Linked DNA regions of Tamandua tetradactyla. The protein of the gene in region 1 binds, or shares a complex with, the protein of each later gene. Links are inferred from orthologs where the notes say so. Each region holds a gene or a part of one and is shown in the gene's direction. Other genes may lie near its edges.

Region 1 (7,611 bases):
GAGGGGAATGAAAGGGGAGAGAGGAGAAGAAAAGGCTCAGCTTCTTGCCACCTGCTTACCTTCTGGGCCCTACCCCTCCAGGCCTCCTGCTACCTGAAACAAGGCAAGTATCAGGATGCAGAGACCCTGTACAAGGAGATCCTCACTCGCGCTCATGAGAAGGAATTTGGCTCTGTCAACGGTGAGTCCATCTGTGGCTGCCATGTGCCCCAGCTCATTTGGCACAGGCCTACTCAGCCATCAATATCCAGGGCACACACCGCGGGGGGTCAGGCCCACGCCTTGGATGGTCTCCCAGGAATCTGTGTACCTGTGAGCACCTGTGGGCAAAACACATAAGCTGCACAGCCTCCTTGGGCCTCCCAGGCCATATACTATGCATACCCCAGCCTCTCTGCCCCTCTCTCCACTGGCCACTTCCTGCTCACCTCAAGGACCCAGCGCAAATGTCTCTCCCTCTGGGAAACTGGCCTCTGGCTCCCCGATGGTCAGTTGTTTCTGCTCTGGGGTCCCTGGGAACCTGGCCCTTTGTTTAGGCCTGGCACGTGTCCTTCTGCCCCCGCCAACCCGACCACCAGCCCCTCAAGCACAGTCCTGTGCCATGTTCCTCTCTGTTCCAAAGAGGGTCTGTGTCTTGTTCATTCATTCAACAAAGCCTGACTCTGGGTACCCCTGTGCCCCACCGCAGACTCCAGCGGGGGCCTATATGGGAGGCAGATGACAACCCCCTTTGTCTTCCCAGGGGACAACAAGCCCATCTGGATGCACGCAGAGGAACGGGAGGAGAGCAAGGTAGCTCTGTGGGGCAGGATGGGCGCAGGTGTCAGGGGAGGCTGGAAGAGGCTAGATCTTCTCCTCCCACCTCCCCTGACCATTCCTTCCCCCAGGATAAACGCCGGGACAGCACCCCATATGGGGAATACGGCAGCTGGTACAAGGCCTGTAAAGTAGACAGGTGAGGGCAGCAGGACAGGGCGGGTGTAGCACAGGTAGCAGGGAATCAGCATCCTGGGTGGGGGCCAAGGCCCAAGCTCCACACTCTATACTGTCCACACCCGGAACACTCACTCACCTCTTCTCTGCCAGGCCATCTTTCAAGGCCCAGGTCACAGGCCACCTGTGCCAAGAAGGCTTTCTTGACCATAACAGCCTGATTATCTCACTCTGGGTCTCCCAGTTTTTAGCCTACCAGGGCCTTGGTACCAGCACCCAACCCTGGAGTAACTCCTCTGTGATTGGGATGGCTGGGTGCTTAGCAGAGGGCTTGACACATAGAAGGGCCTAGAGTTGAGTTGGCGAAATGGTTCTTCGGGGCCCACGGTGAACTGAGTGCCAGGGCGGGCCCTGGGTCCTGGGGAACATGGCGTCTGAGACTGTCCTGTTGTTCTCCCTACAGCCCCACAGTCAACACGACCCTGCGCAGCTTGGGGGCTCTGTACCGGCGCCAGGGCAAGCTTGAAGCTGCCCATACGCTAGAGGACTGTGCCAGCCGCAGCCGCAAGCAGGTGGGGCTATGTGCATGGGGGTGTGGTGGGGCCCTGGGGGGCCCTGTGTTCCAGGCAGGGCCTGTTTTACCACCTGATGTCCCCTGCACCCCCTAACGCCCCTCCACCCTGCTTGCCCAGGGCCTGGACCCTGCAAGCCAGACCAAGGTGGTGGAGCTGCTGAAGGATGGCAGCGGTGGGCGGGCAGACCGCCGTGGTGGCCGAGACGTGGCTGCAGGTGCCGGGCCTCGGTCGGAGTCTGAACTCGAGGATGCAGGGCCTGCAGCTGAATGGAGCGGGGTGAGTCTCAGGATGGGGCCAGCTGGGAGGCTGTTGTAGCCAGCGTGGCACAGAGACGAGCCTGCCCACCCCACAGGACGGAAGCGGCTCTCTGCGGCGCAGCGGCTCCTTTGGGAAGCTCCGGGATGCACTGAGGCGCAGCAGTGAGATGCTGGTGAAAAAGCTGCAGGGCAGTGGCCCCCAGGAGTCCCCTAACCCCAGGTGAACCCCCCTCCCAGGGTGCATCCCTCAAGAACCCACCCAGCATACCGGCCAACTCCAAATGAGCTCCTGACCCAGGATGAGCTCCCCCATCTCTCTCCAGCCCCACCACCTACCAAGTCTGCTTCCCTCCCAGCATCCTCCCTCCCTAGCCCCAACCTGACCCCTTTATCCTATCCTCCCCCCACCACCACTTCCACCTGGACAAATCACAGTCACCCTTTCCCCTCAGGATGAAGCGGGCCAGTTCCCTCAACTTCCTCAACAAGAGTGCTGAAGAGGCAGTTCAGGTATGGGTGGGTGGGACCCCAGGGCCTGCATATTGCCTAGTTTCTCCTCGAGCCTCTGTTCCTGCTCCTCCCCCAGCATCTCTATGCATCTGGCCACATTTCCAGCCACATTTCTTGTCTCTGTCCCAGGCCTGGCTTTGGGCTGGTCAGTGGGGAGACAGATGGGGGAAAGTGGGCCCTGCCCTGGGGTGGCCAGTGTCAGCACAGTAACCATGGAAATGGACAGGACCATCAGAGCACAGGGGTGGCTTTGGGTCAGAACAGGCTCTGCCTCTGCCCCGCTCAGAGAAGCGGGGCCAGAGAAACCCAGACTGGCAGCAGGTGAGCTAAGTGGCCTGCCCCCTCTGCCCACAGCCTGGAGGCACTGGCTTCTCTGACAGCCGCACGCTCAGCTCCAGCTCCATGGACCTCTCCCGACGAAGCTCCCTCCTAGGCTAATGCTGAAGGGGCAGCCAGTCACCAGAGCTTCCAGCCGGCACTGACCCCTCCACCCCACCCCAGCCCTGCGCATGGGCCTTGCTGCTTGTCCCACTTGTCCTTCCCAAGGACCCTCTGTCTTTTCTGTTCAATCTCAGGGTAACCTCCTCCCTTGTCATCTCAGCCTGAGCCCCGGAGGCTGGGTCTGCCGGCTCCAGCTCCCACCCCTTATTTATTCCTAACAGCAGGGCCCCTCTGCCCCAGCTTCCGGGGCCCCCAAGGCCAGCAGGAGCTGGCCAAGGACTCTAAGGTAGAGACTAAGCGACCGCCCTCCCCAGATCCCGGAGCTAATAACACTAAGCACCCTTCAGCACCCCTGCCGTCCCCCCCCACCCCCGGCCGTTGCTTCTGTATATAGAGAAATAAGTTATTGGCCGTTCCCCCCGACCTCTGTCCACGGTACTACCCCGGCCTCTTCCCACTCCGCCCTTCTCTAGTGGTACCGCCCAGGCCTTAATCACCCCCATTCCTCGCGGTGGCTTCTCCCAGGCTCCGCATCTCCGGGTCGGCGCCTCCCCAAAGGGTTTCCTAGACCTCGCACTCCTTCTGGCCTCAGAGGGCACACCCTACCCGGCCAACCCCCGGTGCCCCAGCACGGAGCGTCCACCCCTTGCCCGCCGCCCCCGCCCCGGCCGGCTGCGTGCGGCCTTCTGCACTGCCCCTCCGCGCGGCCCTGCCAGGTGCGGCTAGACCCCGTCCCGGGCCACGCCGGTCGAGCCATCCTGCCACGCCCCCTCCCAAGGCTGCAGCTTCTCGCGCCGGGCGGCGATGAGCAGCCCCTTCCGCGGTGACAGGAGGGGCTGCCCCAGTTGTGGGGGATGGCGATCGCTCTCCGTTTTCAGATGTTGCTGTAGAAATAAAGACGGTTTGAATCTGAGCCGGGCTTGTTTTGGGGACGAGGCCGAGAGCCCCCCAGCGTCACCAGATCGGGGGGTGGGGTAGGGGGGACTGACGGGGGTACAGAAAGATTCCGTGTGGATGGAGGGGCGGGAGGGGGTGTCGCTCACGTCCGGCTCCTGAGTAGCAGCTCCTTGCCGGAATTATTTGGGGGCCCATTTACGTGTCTCAAAGTCCTCCGGAAAGGTTCAGTTCTTCTAATAATCTTCACCTCTGGAATTATTATAGAGAGCGAGGGCTTGGATGAGCTCTGCCCTTACCTAGACTGTTTGACCTTGAGCGGGTTCTCCGAGATTCGATTTTTTTAATCTATAAAAATGTGGGTGATAACACCTTCCTCCTGGGTTGCGGTTGTGAATCGGCAGCCTCCAGCACACGGAGAAACCAGGAAAAATAAACATCTTTTACTCGCATCCGCCTTCGCATTTAATGCTCACAAACCTGGGAACTGGGAAAGTGGAATGACTACCTCCGTCAGAGAGAGGTTAAAAAGACGGGTGACCCGCTCCCCCCCGCCCAACCCCGGCCCTAAAAGCAGCTTTCGGCGTCCAGAGCGTTGCCCTCAAGCTCAGGGCTACCCAGAGGGTGAACTACAAGCCCCAGAAGGCAAAGCGCCTGCGGCGATTGGGGGGGGTGGGCTCTCTGGTTTGCGCCTGCGCAGCGGGGGCGAACAGGACAATACTACAAGTTCCGATAAGCAGCGCGACAAGGCCGAAGGAGGGAATGTTTGCGCCTGCGCATCGCGGGCGGGGCTTCTGGGGCGGAGCGACCACCATCTTGGAACGGGAGGCGGAGCAGAGCCGACTGGGAGCGACCGAGCGGGCCGCCGCCGCCGCCATGAACCCCGAATAGTGAGTGAGCCCCGCCCGCGCCGTTCGGCGCAGCCTCGATCCTGAGTACGGGGCTGTACGCTAACCGGGCTTGTCCGGCCCGGGTCAGGACTGCGCGGCGCCCCCACATCCGGGTCCCTCTTCCGCTGACCCCCCCCCCCAAAAAAAAACCACACACACATCCGGGTCCCGCCCCTCCCCCCGGGGGCCCCAGGACCCCGGCTCGATACCCCGAGTCCTTGCATCCAGAGCCCAGAGACAGCGACCCCAAAAGCCGCGCTTGGAACCCGAGGCACAGACCCTACCAGGCCTTATCAGTCAAGTGACCCTGCAGCCCGGGTCTCTCCCGGCCTCAGTTTCCCCACCTACGGCCTGGGTGCAGACGACGGTCCCAGCATTTTGGAGCCTGCGTGATAGTCTCTGGTCTCGGGTTCAGACTCTGGCCTTTAAGTAGGGGGCCGTAAGTCCTTCTGCCCTTCCCGTTCTCCTGGAGCCCCGGCCCGGCTCTGGTCAGACGCGGGAAGCGAGGCGCCGCTCTGGGCCGCGTCTCCGGCGGGTCGTCCTTTCCCGGCGGCCGTCCCTTCTTCCCCTCCCCTCACCTTTGCGCAGGCCCGCAGCTGCCACTGTCACACCCCTTCCCTTGGCTCCCGCTCTGCCGGTGAAGTTTAAGTTTAGATGACTGGTGGTTGCTTCCCCCCTTTCAATGGGGTTCTCTGTTCCTACTTGTTGGTCACTCCCCCTATGGGTAGGTGGCCCACAGCTCGCACCTCGGATTTCTAAGTGACAGTTTTTCCCAAGGAGCAGTTACTTTCTTCCTCTTTTGCCACTTCCTTTTCCTCTTCTGGATCCTGCCCTCAGGTTTCCTTGGGAAAGGGTGAAATACTGTAGAATTATAAGGGGGGCCAGAGAAGGGAACCAGTAGGCTACCACAGAGAGTGGAGTCTGACAGACCTGCTTTCAAGTCTTATGCCTAGGGCGAGTCTCACTTCTCTGACTTCGGGTTTCCTCCTTAGGGGAGAGTAACACCCACTTCACTGGACTGTTGTTAGTGAGATGACACGCTTGAAGTACTTAGCGCAGGGCCAAGCACAAGGAGGAACTCAGTGATATTAGCTAGTGTTATGCTGATGCCACTTATTGGTTAATTTCTTCCTGGTGGCTTCATACCAGGCTGTTTTACACAGATTATCATTCAGTAGGTCCTGTATGGGTTCTGGCTTCTACTTGTGGGGTACATTATAGGGTGTGTAGCAGGGTTTCCCTAAATAGCCCCTATTGGACAGAACTGCCGAGTCTGTCAGGAATCAGGATAGGATGCCCAGTTCTCTCACCAAACTAATTGTGATCCTTGCTAAGTCATATCCCTCTCTGTGCCTCGGTTTCCTCCTCTGAGAAGTGGGAATTCAAACACAGCACACGGAAAGCCCTTTGGGGTAGATAGCTGGTAAGGTGGGGTAGACAGCTGTGTAAGGTAAGGGGTGAGTCCCCTCTCCCCAGGACTGGTGGGAGGACCTGGTCAGCCCCATAGTATTCTGTAAAAGGAGGGATGCCTCTCAGTGTGGGAGAATACCGTAGTTGTGACTCGAAGATGATGGCGGGTGGGCTCCCTTCATGCCTTCCTGTTTTCTCTCTCCAGTGACTACCTGTTTAAGCTGCTTTTGATTGGTGACTCGGGTGTGGGCAAGTCATGCCTGCTTCTGCGGTTTGCTGTGAGTAAGAAGCCTCCTATACCACCCCTCCGGGGTTCTGGCTGGGCAATAGGGGGTAGCGGGGGCAACTCAGAACACAGTAACTGTGAGACCCAGGGACCAAGGTTGAAATTGCAGGACTTGCTGGGAATACTTCTGATTGAACAGAGGCACAGGGCTGGCCGGTTAGGGTGCTGAGAACCAGGGTTTTACAGCTAAGAGCTCAGCTGAGGCATGGAGCTGGAGGGGGTTTTCCAAATGGGCCTCAGGCCTGTTCACTGGCCCCCTACCTTCCAGGATGACACATACACAGAGAGCTACATCAGCACCATCGGAGTAGACTTCAAGATCCGAACCATTGAGCTGGATGGTAAAACCATCAAACTTCAGATTGTGAGTATTGCTCTTCCCAAAGCCCCCGGTGCAAAGGCATGGGCCTCGGGAGGGGAGGGGGCCTCTGAACATGGAGCTGAGAGCTGTCTGCCCCTCTCTCCCTGCTGTCTTGTAGTGGGACACAGCCGGTCAGGAACGGTTCCGGACCATCACTTCCAGCTACTACCGGGGTGCCCACGGCATCATCGTGGTGTACGATGTCACCGACCAGGTACTCCTGGCCTCTCGCCTCCTCAGCCTTAGGTCTCTGGCTCTTGCTTCTTTTTTCTCTTCCTGTCCTCTCTTCCTGATGCTGCTTTGAAAGGAGACTATATTCAGACTCATTTCATAAGGCGGGAAGCAGCCACCGAGATGGATCTTCCAGGAGTGCAAGGTTTTGGCAGAAGCAGCCCCTTCCTGTCCCATCCCCCACTCCCACTCCCGCCATCTTCTCTTCTCCGGATTTGCTACCTCATTCTACACCTCCCTGTCACCTGGCTTTGGTGTCGGTTTAGTCAGCTGTTTGGCCTCCTGCATGGAAAACACTGTGTGGAAGCATTTGGACATGGACGTGAGGGAGCCTAGAGCTCTGGTCCCAGTGTAAGCAGGGTCTAGGAGTCCTGTGCCCACCCCCAGCGGTACAGTCGCACGTCCTTGGCAGCAGTGATGATAGAATTGTGGTGTGAACAGTCGGAAATCGTCCTGCCATACCCTAAAATATACTGAACCTATCACAGCCTTTGTGCTTTTTGATGTTCATTACATCCCCCAAAAGTCTGCATTGTTGTCCCATTTTACAGATGAGGAGATGGTCCCAGAGTGGTGAGGAGGCTTGGGAGGGTCCTGCAGCTAGTTAAGTGGCAGGTGGAAGGCCTAGGTCTCCTGGTTCCAGTTGCTTTGCTGCTTCTACCAAACCGTGTGGCTTCCCAAGTCCAGGTGCTGGGACATGGAGATGGTCACACCAGCCCCAGAGGAGTCCCTCTCCTTAGGGGTGGCTGGACTCTGCAGGCTCACCAGGATGGCCCAGTTCCCACCCAGTCTCCCCAGTGTGTGGACCCACAGCTGTGGCTGA
Region 2 (8,121 bases), on another chromosome or scaffold:
GCAATGCCATCCTGATTACAGGAAACAGAGTCATTAGTGCCTTTGAGTCCAGTTAGAGTAGAAAGCCAGTTGTAAAAACCCATTTTTAAAATTCTCTTTCTTAAGAACCACTCCCAGTACCAAGCTGTATTAGCTAGGGTCTCCAGAAAAACAGAATCACAGGAGATATCTGTAAATACAAAATTTATAGAAGTGTCTCATGCAACTGTGGGGATGTAAGAGTCCAAGATCTGTAGGGCAGGCCACGAGATGGCAGCTCCAATGAAGGTCCTCAATGAACTCTCAGGGGAGGCTGGCTGGCTGAAGCAGGGAGAGTGATTGTTTCTTCTGAATCCTCCTTAAAAGCCTTCCAGTGATTAAATTAAGCATCACTCATTGCAGAAGACACTCCCTTTAGCTGACTGCAAATGCAATAAGCTGTGAATGCCACCAACGTGGCCATGATTTAAGTCCATGAAATGTCCTCACAGCAACAGACAGGCTGGCATTTGTCCAACTAGACCGGACACCACTATCTGGTCAAGTTGACACATGAACCTGACCATACAGTAGGGACCATGAATATTGGTTGAGCTAAAAAATGAGTTCAGTTTCTGTGTCTGTGACTTGGGATCTTCTGAGGTGTTCATTCTTCCTGGTGTCCTTGGGCCCATGGCAGACTAGCCTGGCAGGATCCAGCCCAGAGATGGGCTCCAAGGCCAGGCCACGGGGTAGTGGCTCAAATCATACCCTAGCATAGGCTGGCTCCCACTGGCCCAGGAAAACTTATTATTATATTCTTCTTGCCCCCCTACATCTCCTTTCAAAGAGAGCACGTGTAGAGGAAATATAAGGTAAAATGACCTGCACTTCTTGTCATGCTGTACCTTTAGAGCTCCATGGTAAAGAAGTGCAGTTGGGCAATGTGCAGCCTGGAGGATGGGTTACCAGCCTGGAACAAGGGGTATCTGATACTTAAACTTTTGCATACTTGACAATAGCTTGGCTATCCTTCCTTTCCTCTGAGCCCCTGTCAACTTAATTTTCAGAGGACAAGAGCTGGCCAAGCCTCACAATGAATAGGCAACTATTTAGCCCCAGAGATGTGATGGTGGGGAGAGGAAGGGGCTGCTGGGAGCTAAGAGACCTGGAACTAATCCCAGACCTTTTGTTACCTTGCTAGGTAGCCTTTTTAGGGTCACTGTCCCATCATTATCACAGGCCAGAATCCAGCTGTCTTGCAGGACAGTGCGGTAAACAAGAGGGAATAAATAATGCTAAATTGGAATGACTTAATTCCTTCTTCAGTGGGCAAAGGCACCTTTTAACCTCAGTGATGATTTAGATCAAAGACTAGAAATATTTTCAAACTTTCAGTGTTAATATTTTTGTGTTAAGGAATCTATGTGATCTTATTCAGTTTGTATTAGCATATTTAAAAGAATGTATGACTCAATATATTTATAACTTTAACTTATTACATTTACAGGAGTTCTATTTGAACTTGACTTTGTTAGAAGATTATGATACTTTAAGGAAAGTGAATGATTACATTTATAAATGCAATTTCAGTGGTTCATAGGAAATTAAGTTTATTAATGGAACCAACCAAGTGATTGTTAAATTTACTAGATTATGAATAGAATTGTAAAATTTGTTCATTGAAGTGAAAAGTTTAAGGAAGAATTAGGCTTTGGGATTTAATCCATTGAATATTAGCTTTAAAAATTAAATTAACTTCCTTGAGGAACTATGGTATATACATACAATGGACTACTGAGCAGCCCCAAGAAGGAATGAAGTTGTAAGGCGTGCAACTAAGTGTATGAATTTAAAGGACAATATGGTTAAATGAATTGCTTGGAACAAGGAGACAAATGTTTTCATGCCTCAATCATATGGACTAACTATAGTATAAAAACTCAGCAATGTGAAGTTGAGAGCATGAGTTGTCAGATTGGAGCCTATTGTAAAGCGTCCTAGATTGTAAGATCTCACAGCATCATATGTATTCAGAAGTTGTAACTGTTATTTCTAAATTCTGAGATACTGAGCTGTTTTTTATAACCTAGTCATTGCCAGAAACTTCAGGCATTTATGTGACACCTGGGACTCAGAGTTAGAACTCTGAAGTTATGAAAGTCAGCAGTACCCCATATATGAACTATTTAAAAAGTTGAAAAAATGATCAAACATCAACTAGAGATATGAATGAAACTGATGTGGATAGGACTAAGGTAAATCAGAATACAGGGTAAAGGATATATTGTCCATATTTTAAAACTTCAACTTCTGTGAGACCAAAGGGAGAGATGTTTATTTGGTGTAAAATCTATATTTTGGATAGAGTATCTCCTAATTTAAGTTGTATGGTAAGTTTAGCTGAACACCATAAGTACATGGAATCTTGAATAGGGCATGAGATCTTGTTTGTTTGTCCAGGTTGGTGTGATGCTTCTATATATTCCAGAGTAATTTGGGCAGTGAATAAATAAGTATTAGCAAAGTGCCCTTGGGGGACTGAGGAGAAAGGATGAAACATTCCACTTCCCCATTTGAAGAATTTGTGATATTCTTACAAGTAGTGGGGACAACCATATCAATAGACCAAGCTCTCTGTCTTGGAGTTTGCTTCTTTGCAACTTATTCCTGCAAAGGACAGGCTAAACCTCCTTTAAATTAGGCCTAAGAGTCACCCCCGGAGAACCTCTTTTGTTGCTCAGATGTGACTTCCCTCTGTAAGCCAACTTGGCAGGTGAACTCACTGCCTCCCCACCTACGTGGGACATGACTCCCACGAGTGTAAATCTCCCAGGTAATATGGGACAGAACACCCAGGATGAGCCAGGCCCCAACATAAAAGGACTGAGAAAGCCTTCTTGACCAAAAGGGGGAAAGGAGCAATGAGACCAAATAAAAGTTTCAGTGGCTGAAAAATTTCAGACAGTCGGAAGCTTAGCCTGGAGGTTATTCGTATATATTACATAGATATCCCTTTTTAGTTTATGATTGTGCTGGTTTGAAAGGAAGTGTGCCCCCTAGAAAAGCCATGTTTTAATCAAAATATCATTTCATAAAGGTAGAATAATCTCTATCCAATACTGTAGGTTTGAAACTGTAATCAGATCATCTCCCTGGATGATGTGATTTAGTTAAGAATGGTTGTTAAACTGGATTAGGGGACGACATGTCTCCACCCATTTGGGTGGGTCTTGATTGGTTTATTGGAGTCCTATAAAAGAGGAAATATTTTGGAGAATGAGAGATTCAGAGAGAGCAGAGAATGCTGCAGCACCACGTAGCAGAAAGTCCACCAGCCAGAGACCTTTGGAGATGAAGAAGGAAAACGCCTCCCAGGGAGCTTCATGAAACCGGAAGCCAGGAGAGAAAGCTAGTAGATGACGCCGTGTCCACCATATGCCCTTCCAGCCGAGAGAGAAGTCTGACTGTGTTCGCCATGTGCCTTCTCACTTGAGAGAGAAGCCCTGAACTTCATCCGCCTTCTAGAACCAAGGTATCTTTCCCTGGATGGATGCCTTTGATTGGACATTTCTATAGACTTGTTTTGATTGGGACATTTTCTCGGCTGTAGAACTATAAACTAGTAACTCATTAAATTTCCCTTTTTAAAAGCCATTCCATTTTTGGTATATTGCATTCCAGCAGCTAGCAAACTAGAACAATGATATATTGGAGTGGCTGGAGGGAAATACCTGGAACTTGAGCTATATTCCAGTAGCCTTGATTCTTGAAAATGATTGTATAAAGACATAACTTTTACAATGCTACTGTGTGATTGTGAAAACCTTGTGTCTGATGCTCCTTTTATCCAGGGTATAGATAGATGAGTTAAAAAAATAAATGGATAAAAATAAATAAATAATAGGGGAGACAAAGGATAAAATAAATTGGGTAGAAGGAAATACTAGTGGTCAATGAGAGGGAGGGATAAGGGGTGTGGTACATATCTTTTTTCTTTTACTTTTTCTGGAGTGATGCAAACGTTCTAAAAAATGCATGGCAATGAATACACAACTATGTGATGATATTGTGATATTATACATGTATGGAATATATGCGTGTGAAGATTTTACTATAAAAATATTTTTAAAAAAATCAAATTAGCTTCCAAGTAATCTTTTCGGCTCATTGAAACTACCCAGAGAAAGTTAAAAAAAAGAAAAAAAAAAAGGACTTACAATGTATCAGTAGACCATGGAATCTAGACTGGGCAGATTAGACACGAAGCTAGGAGGGGCTAGTGAGCTCCATGGGCTGGAGGTCTCATGAGAATAAAGAACTGATGTGGCTGGGATCTTTGAGCAACCAGAATCATAGAAACTTCAGAGTGAGGGCTTAGCATTAGATATTTGGGAGGCTGGACAGGTCCTGCTGTTGACAGTAGGAAGGATTTGATCACAGGAATGAGCGGCTAACTGGAAACAAGGAGACTGTCTCGAAATATGAAGAAGGAAGTGAAATACCTGACGAGCCAGCAGTACTATTTTGAATGGGTGGCCATTACTTTGCACAAGACTGTTCATATAATCGAAATTTTGAATGGCGCCCCCTGGCGTTGTGCAGTGCACCACCCGCAGCTGTTTGCTTACGCTAAGTCCCGAAGTCGCCAAGTATAATGACAAGAGTTGTGGAGAGGTGAGGTAAGAGTTAAAAGTGCTTGGCAAGCAAAAAATAATAGCTCATAATTGTGGAATCATAATTGCGGACTATTTACTACGTTTGGTAGCACTTTTTCAATAACCCTGAGAGTTCGGTACTATTATTTTCAGCAGCACCATTCTACAAATAAGAAAAGCAAAATAAATGACAAAATATGGCCCTAAACATACTCGGGCAAGAGCACAACTCTACAGCTGAGTTGAACTCAACTCTCCCGGTCCCCTCGGCTCACGGAGCCTGCGCGAGCGCCGTCGCCCCAGTTTAGGGGAAAGTCACGTGCCTGCGCGGGGGCGGGGTCCGCACGGGAACGCCTACGCGCCTGCGCGCGGTGGGCCGAAGGCGCCGAGCCTGTCTTCGCGAAGTGGGCGCTGGGTTCTGCCGTCGCAGCTGCGTCTCCTCAAAGCTCTGCTATCATCCGGGGCTCGGGCCCGGGCCCGGGCCCCCGGGGCATGGCCCTCCGGAGTGCGCAGGGCGATGGTCCTGCCTCCAGCCGCTGGCCCAGGGACGCGGAGAAGGCAGGTACGGAAGCCGGGTGGGGCCGGGGCGTCCAGGAGTGGCCTGCGAGGATGGCCTGAGGGGCAGGGGCGGCCTGAGAGGCAGGGGGGAGCACGCCTGGGACAGAGGTGGCATGGGAGGGGCCGCTGGCTGGAGGGTCCGAGGCAGCGGAGCTGGGACACGCAGGCGGACGCGCCCAGGGCCGCGGGCGGGGGTCGGCGCGGCTGGGGAGGGAAAGGCTGAAGGGCCCGAGTCAGGTCTGAAAGGGGGAGAGGACTTGAAAGTGGGGGATCGGGCGGAGGCTGAGGTGGCTAGAGGAGCGGTGGTGGCAGAATCGCATCTCACTGAGATGGGAGCCCAGGCCTCACCCCCGGCCTGAGACAGCCCGGCCACGTCCGCAGACTCCTGGTGCCAGACTCCTGGTGCTTCCGCTGTTGCTGTAAGGCAGGTTTCTCAAACTTCATTCATATATTGGCGTCGTGACGTAACGCGATGTCCATTTGTCACTTAAAAATTTTTTCGGTAATAAATTTCAGTCTTTTGAAATATAAAATCCAGCGATTCTTAGTATATTCATGACCATTGCCGCTGTCTAATTCCAGAACATTTTCGTGGCCCCAAAAAGAATGCCTGTACCCGTTAGCAGTCACTCCCCCTTCCCCAGCCCCTAGCCACTACTAATTTACTTTCCACCTCTATCGTTTGCCACCTATCTTAATGTTTATTTAATTGTCTAGAAGGTGATCCTCTTTTTCTTTTAACTTAGTTTCATTTTAAGCAGTGATTTGTGTGAAATCATGTTTTTGTTGTGCATTGTTTCCAGACATGTTTTACATGCAATAAGTACATGAAAAAACCTTCAATATTCGCCGTATAACAACTACAATAATCTTATGTCCCTTGGGAAGCAATAAGGTGGCCTTCCACTTTCCTGTCCTCTCATGGGTGGTGCCCATAATAGAACCACTGCCTATTCAACCCAAATGCTTTGAGGAAACATCTGTTAGCCACATCTTCCTCTGAGCTCATTCTCTGTTATTTCCTTTTTCTTCCGTTCTGTGACCTGATGGAGGTGGAGCTGACTTCCGATATACTTCTATGGGCCCTTTGGCATTATAACCTTTTGCTGATGTTTTGTGACATCTGCCCTCATGGCATAATAGTCAGTGTCCAAGCAGTATGGTGCTTGTGACTTGTTGCTCACAGCTGTGCCTAGGTTGCTAGACTAGACGTCTATGAGTGTGAGGAATTTAGAGATGACTTTTTTTATTTTTGTCCTTGTTTTTAGTCATATTAGTGTTGTCAAAGTTACTAATACTAGAAGCCCTCCTTTGTACAGTTTATGATCAGATTGATTTGCTGTCTAGAATATTTTTCTCCATTGTTGGGGTAAAGCAGTCTTTCTAGATATGTCCTTATCTTTATGTTTTAAGCAGGTAATGAATCTCTGCTAATTTGTTTTGTTGAAACTAATTAGAACCACCCAAAACAGAGACTTATTTGTTTTATCTTGTTTTTTTAATAAGCACCTTACCGAAGGTAAAAGTAAGATTTTCCTTTCCCATTGTCTTTCTTTGATACAAGTTCAAGCATAAATTTTGCAGTCAGTTTTCAGTGTTAGCATCGGGAAATCAGTGGGGTAAGAGGATGTTTGTCTGGGAGGATCTCTTACTCTCTCTTTGACTAGCTCTTTCATTGTTTTGATTAAGGCCAGGATTATGTAGTCTAACTTCTGTTTAAAGACTGTGACGTTTTCTTGATGTGCAAGCTTAAATAAAATATCAATATGGTAGTTTGTAGTCTCACATAAGATTCCATTATTGCATATAGACCATTTACCTTATCTAAATCACTTTTATTTTGGTGATATGGAAAAACTTCTAGTGGTTTCTTTAGTCATTGCCTGTTCCCTATACAGGAAACTAGTAAGAGCCCAAGCCGGTTGCTGTTAGAGGTACCTGTTGCTCTGAGGAGGCAGAAGTCCTTACCTGGGTTCTGTACCCAAAGTCAGGAGAGGTTTGAGGCAATAACTGGGCTCCAGCCATCTTTACTTTATCTGAACTGTTAAGAACTACTGCTTTATTGAATGAATTACTTTCCAGGCATCAGGAAATTTATTTATAGAAGAGTCTTATATTTTACAGTCAACCATGGGACAATCATTTCATTCAGTCCTCGTTATAATATCTAAGACCTCTACTATAAAGAAATTTGGAAGATAGCAGCTTTGAAATGCATAATACACCTCTCTAATAAGAAAGGCAGTAAAGAAATTGTAGAAGAAAGAATTCAGGGGATTTGAATTGCATATATGCCACTTCAGATGAAATGTGAGCTTTTATCCCAAGCCCAGATAGAGCAGTCTCAGTCTGGAAATGTAAGCCTCAACCCCAAATCCAGATATAAAACTTATTTTAAAATAAAATAGATATCCCAACCCATGTACTTCCCCCAAAAAACGAACAAGCAAAACAAAGGAAAAGCAAGCAAACAACAACAACAAATGGTGTTGCAATAATGGGATACTCAAATAGAAAAAGAATGAAATGTGACCCCCACCATACAGCATACAAAAAAAGAATAAGAAAATAAAATACATAGCATTAATTTGAATCTTTCCTGAGCATCCCAAGAATAAATAGCTCTGTGGTATTTCTCTTTCCGAGATGAGAAGATATGTAAATTAGTTGCTCATTTGACACTGCTACTCTTTTCTCCCTCATTATGTAGCCTAGCAGTTAACTTTATCTCTGTAATTTATACATCTTTGGCTCACCTGAGTTTTCCCTTTTCTCTTCCTTTTTTATGTCACGATGAGAGCCTACACATTAGATACAGTGAAATACTTGCAAGGTGGGGTGGATGGCTTGGTGGCTTATTTGACGTACCTTCCTCAGCTGCCATCAAACTTTTTTCTTTTTTATTAGAAAAACTGTAGGTTTACAGAAAAATCATGCATAAAATACA

The links.
Region 2: the proteins of RAB1B (region 1) and TBC1D20 are in contact, whole or in part, in a crystal structure (PDB 4HLQ), measured with the Homo sapiens proteins. The link is inferred for Tamandua tetradactyla from reciprocal best matches to the Homo sapiens genes RAB1B and TBC1D20. Residues at the interface, in NP_112243.1 of Homo sapiens: Ser17, Gly18, Ser36, Tyr37, Ile38, Ser39, Thr40, Ile41, Gly42, Val43, Asp44, Phe45, Gln60, Trp62, Ala65, Gly66, Gln67, Arg69, Phe70, Thr72, Ile73, Tyr77, Glu94; in NP_653229.1 of Homo sapiens: Gln97, Gln98, Leu101, Asp102, Arg104, Arg105, Leu107, Arg108, His141, Tyr142, Tyr143, Gln144, Gly145, His147, Asp148, Phe177, Met178, Asp179, Pro180, Thr181, Met182, Lys186, Val212, Ile215, Leu218, Ser219, Thr223, His227, Met272, Ala273.

What each region holds. Positions count from the first base shown.
Region 1 is NC_135335.1:8,162,879-8,170,489, reverse strand, and holds the start of RAB1B (ras-related protein Rab-1B), read left to right. Parts: upstream 1-4,372; coding exon 4,373-4,500; intron 4,501-6,115; coding exon 6,116-6,188; intron 6,189-6,464; coding exon 6,465-6,560; intron 6,561-6,675; coding exon 6,676-6,771; intron 6,772-7,611. Other genes in the region: KLC2 (kinesin light chain 2), read left to right, coding at 82-181, 689-792, 888-955, 1,397-1,505, 1,626-1,784, 1,861-1,985, 2,218-2,275, 2,630-2,713. UniProt on the Homo sapiens protein: The small GTPases Rab are key regulators of intracellular membrane trafficking, from the formation of transport vesicles to their fusion with membranes.
Region 2 is NC_135327.1:22,340,550-22,348,670, reverse strand, and holds the start of TBC1D20 (TBC1 domain family member 20), read left to right. Parts: upstream 1-4,965; 5' UTR 4,966-5,108; coding exon 5,109-5,178; intron 5,179-8,121. UniProt on the Homo sapiens protein: GTPase-activating protein (GAP) specific for Rab1 and Rab2 small GTPase families for which it can accelerate the intrinsic GTP hydrolysis rate by more than five orders of magnitude. Also shows GAP activity for RAB18 GTPase.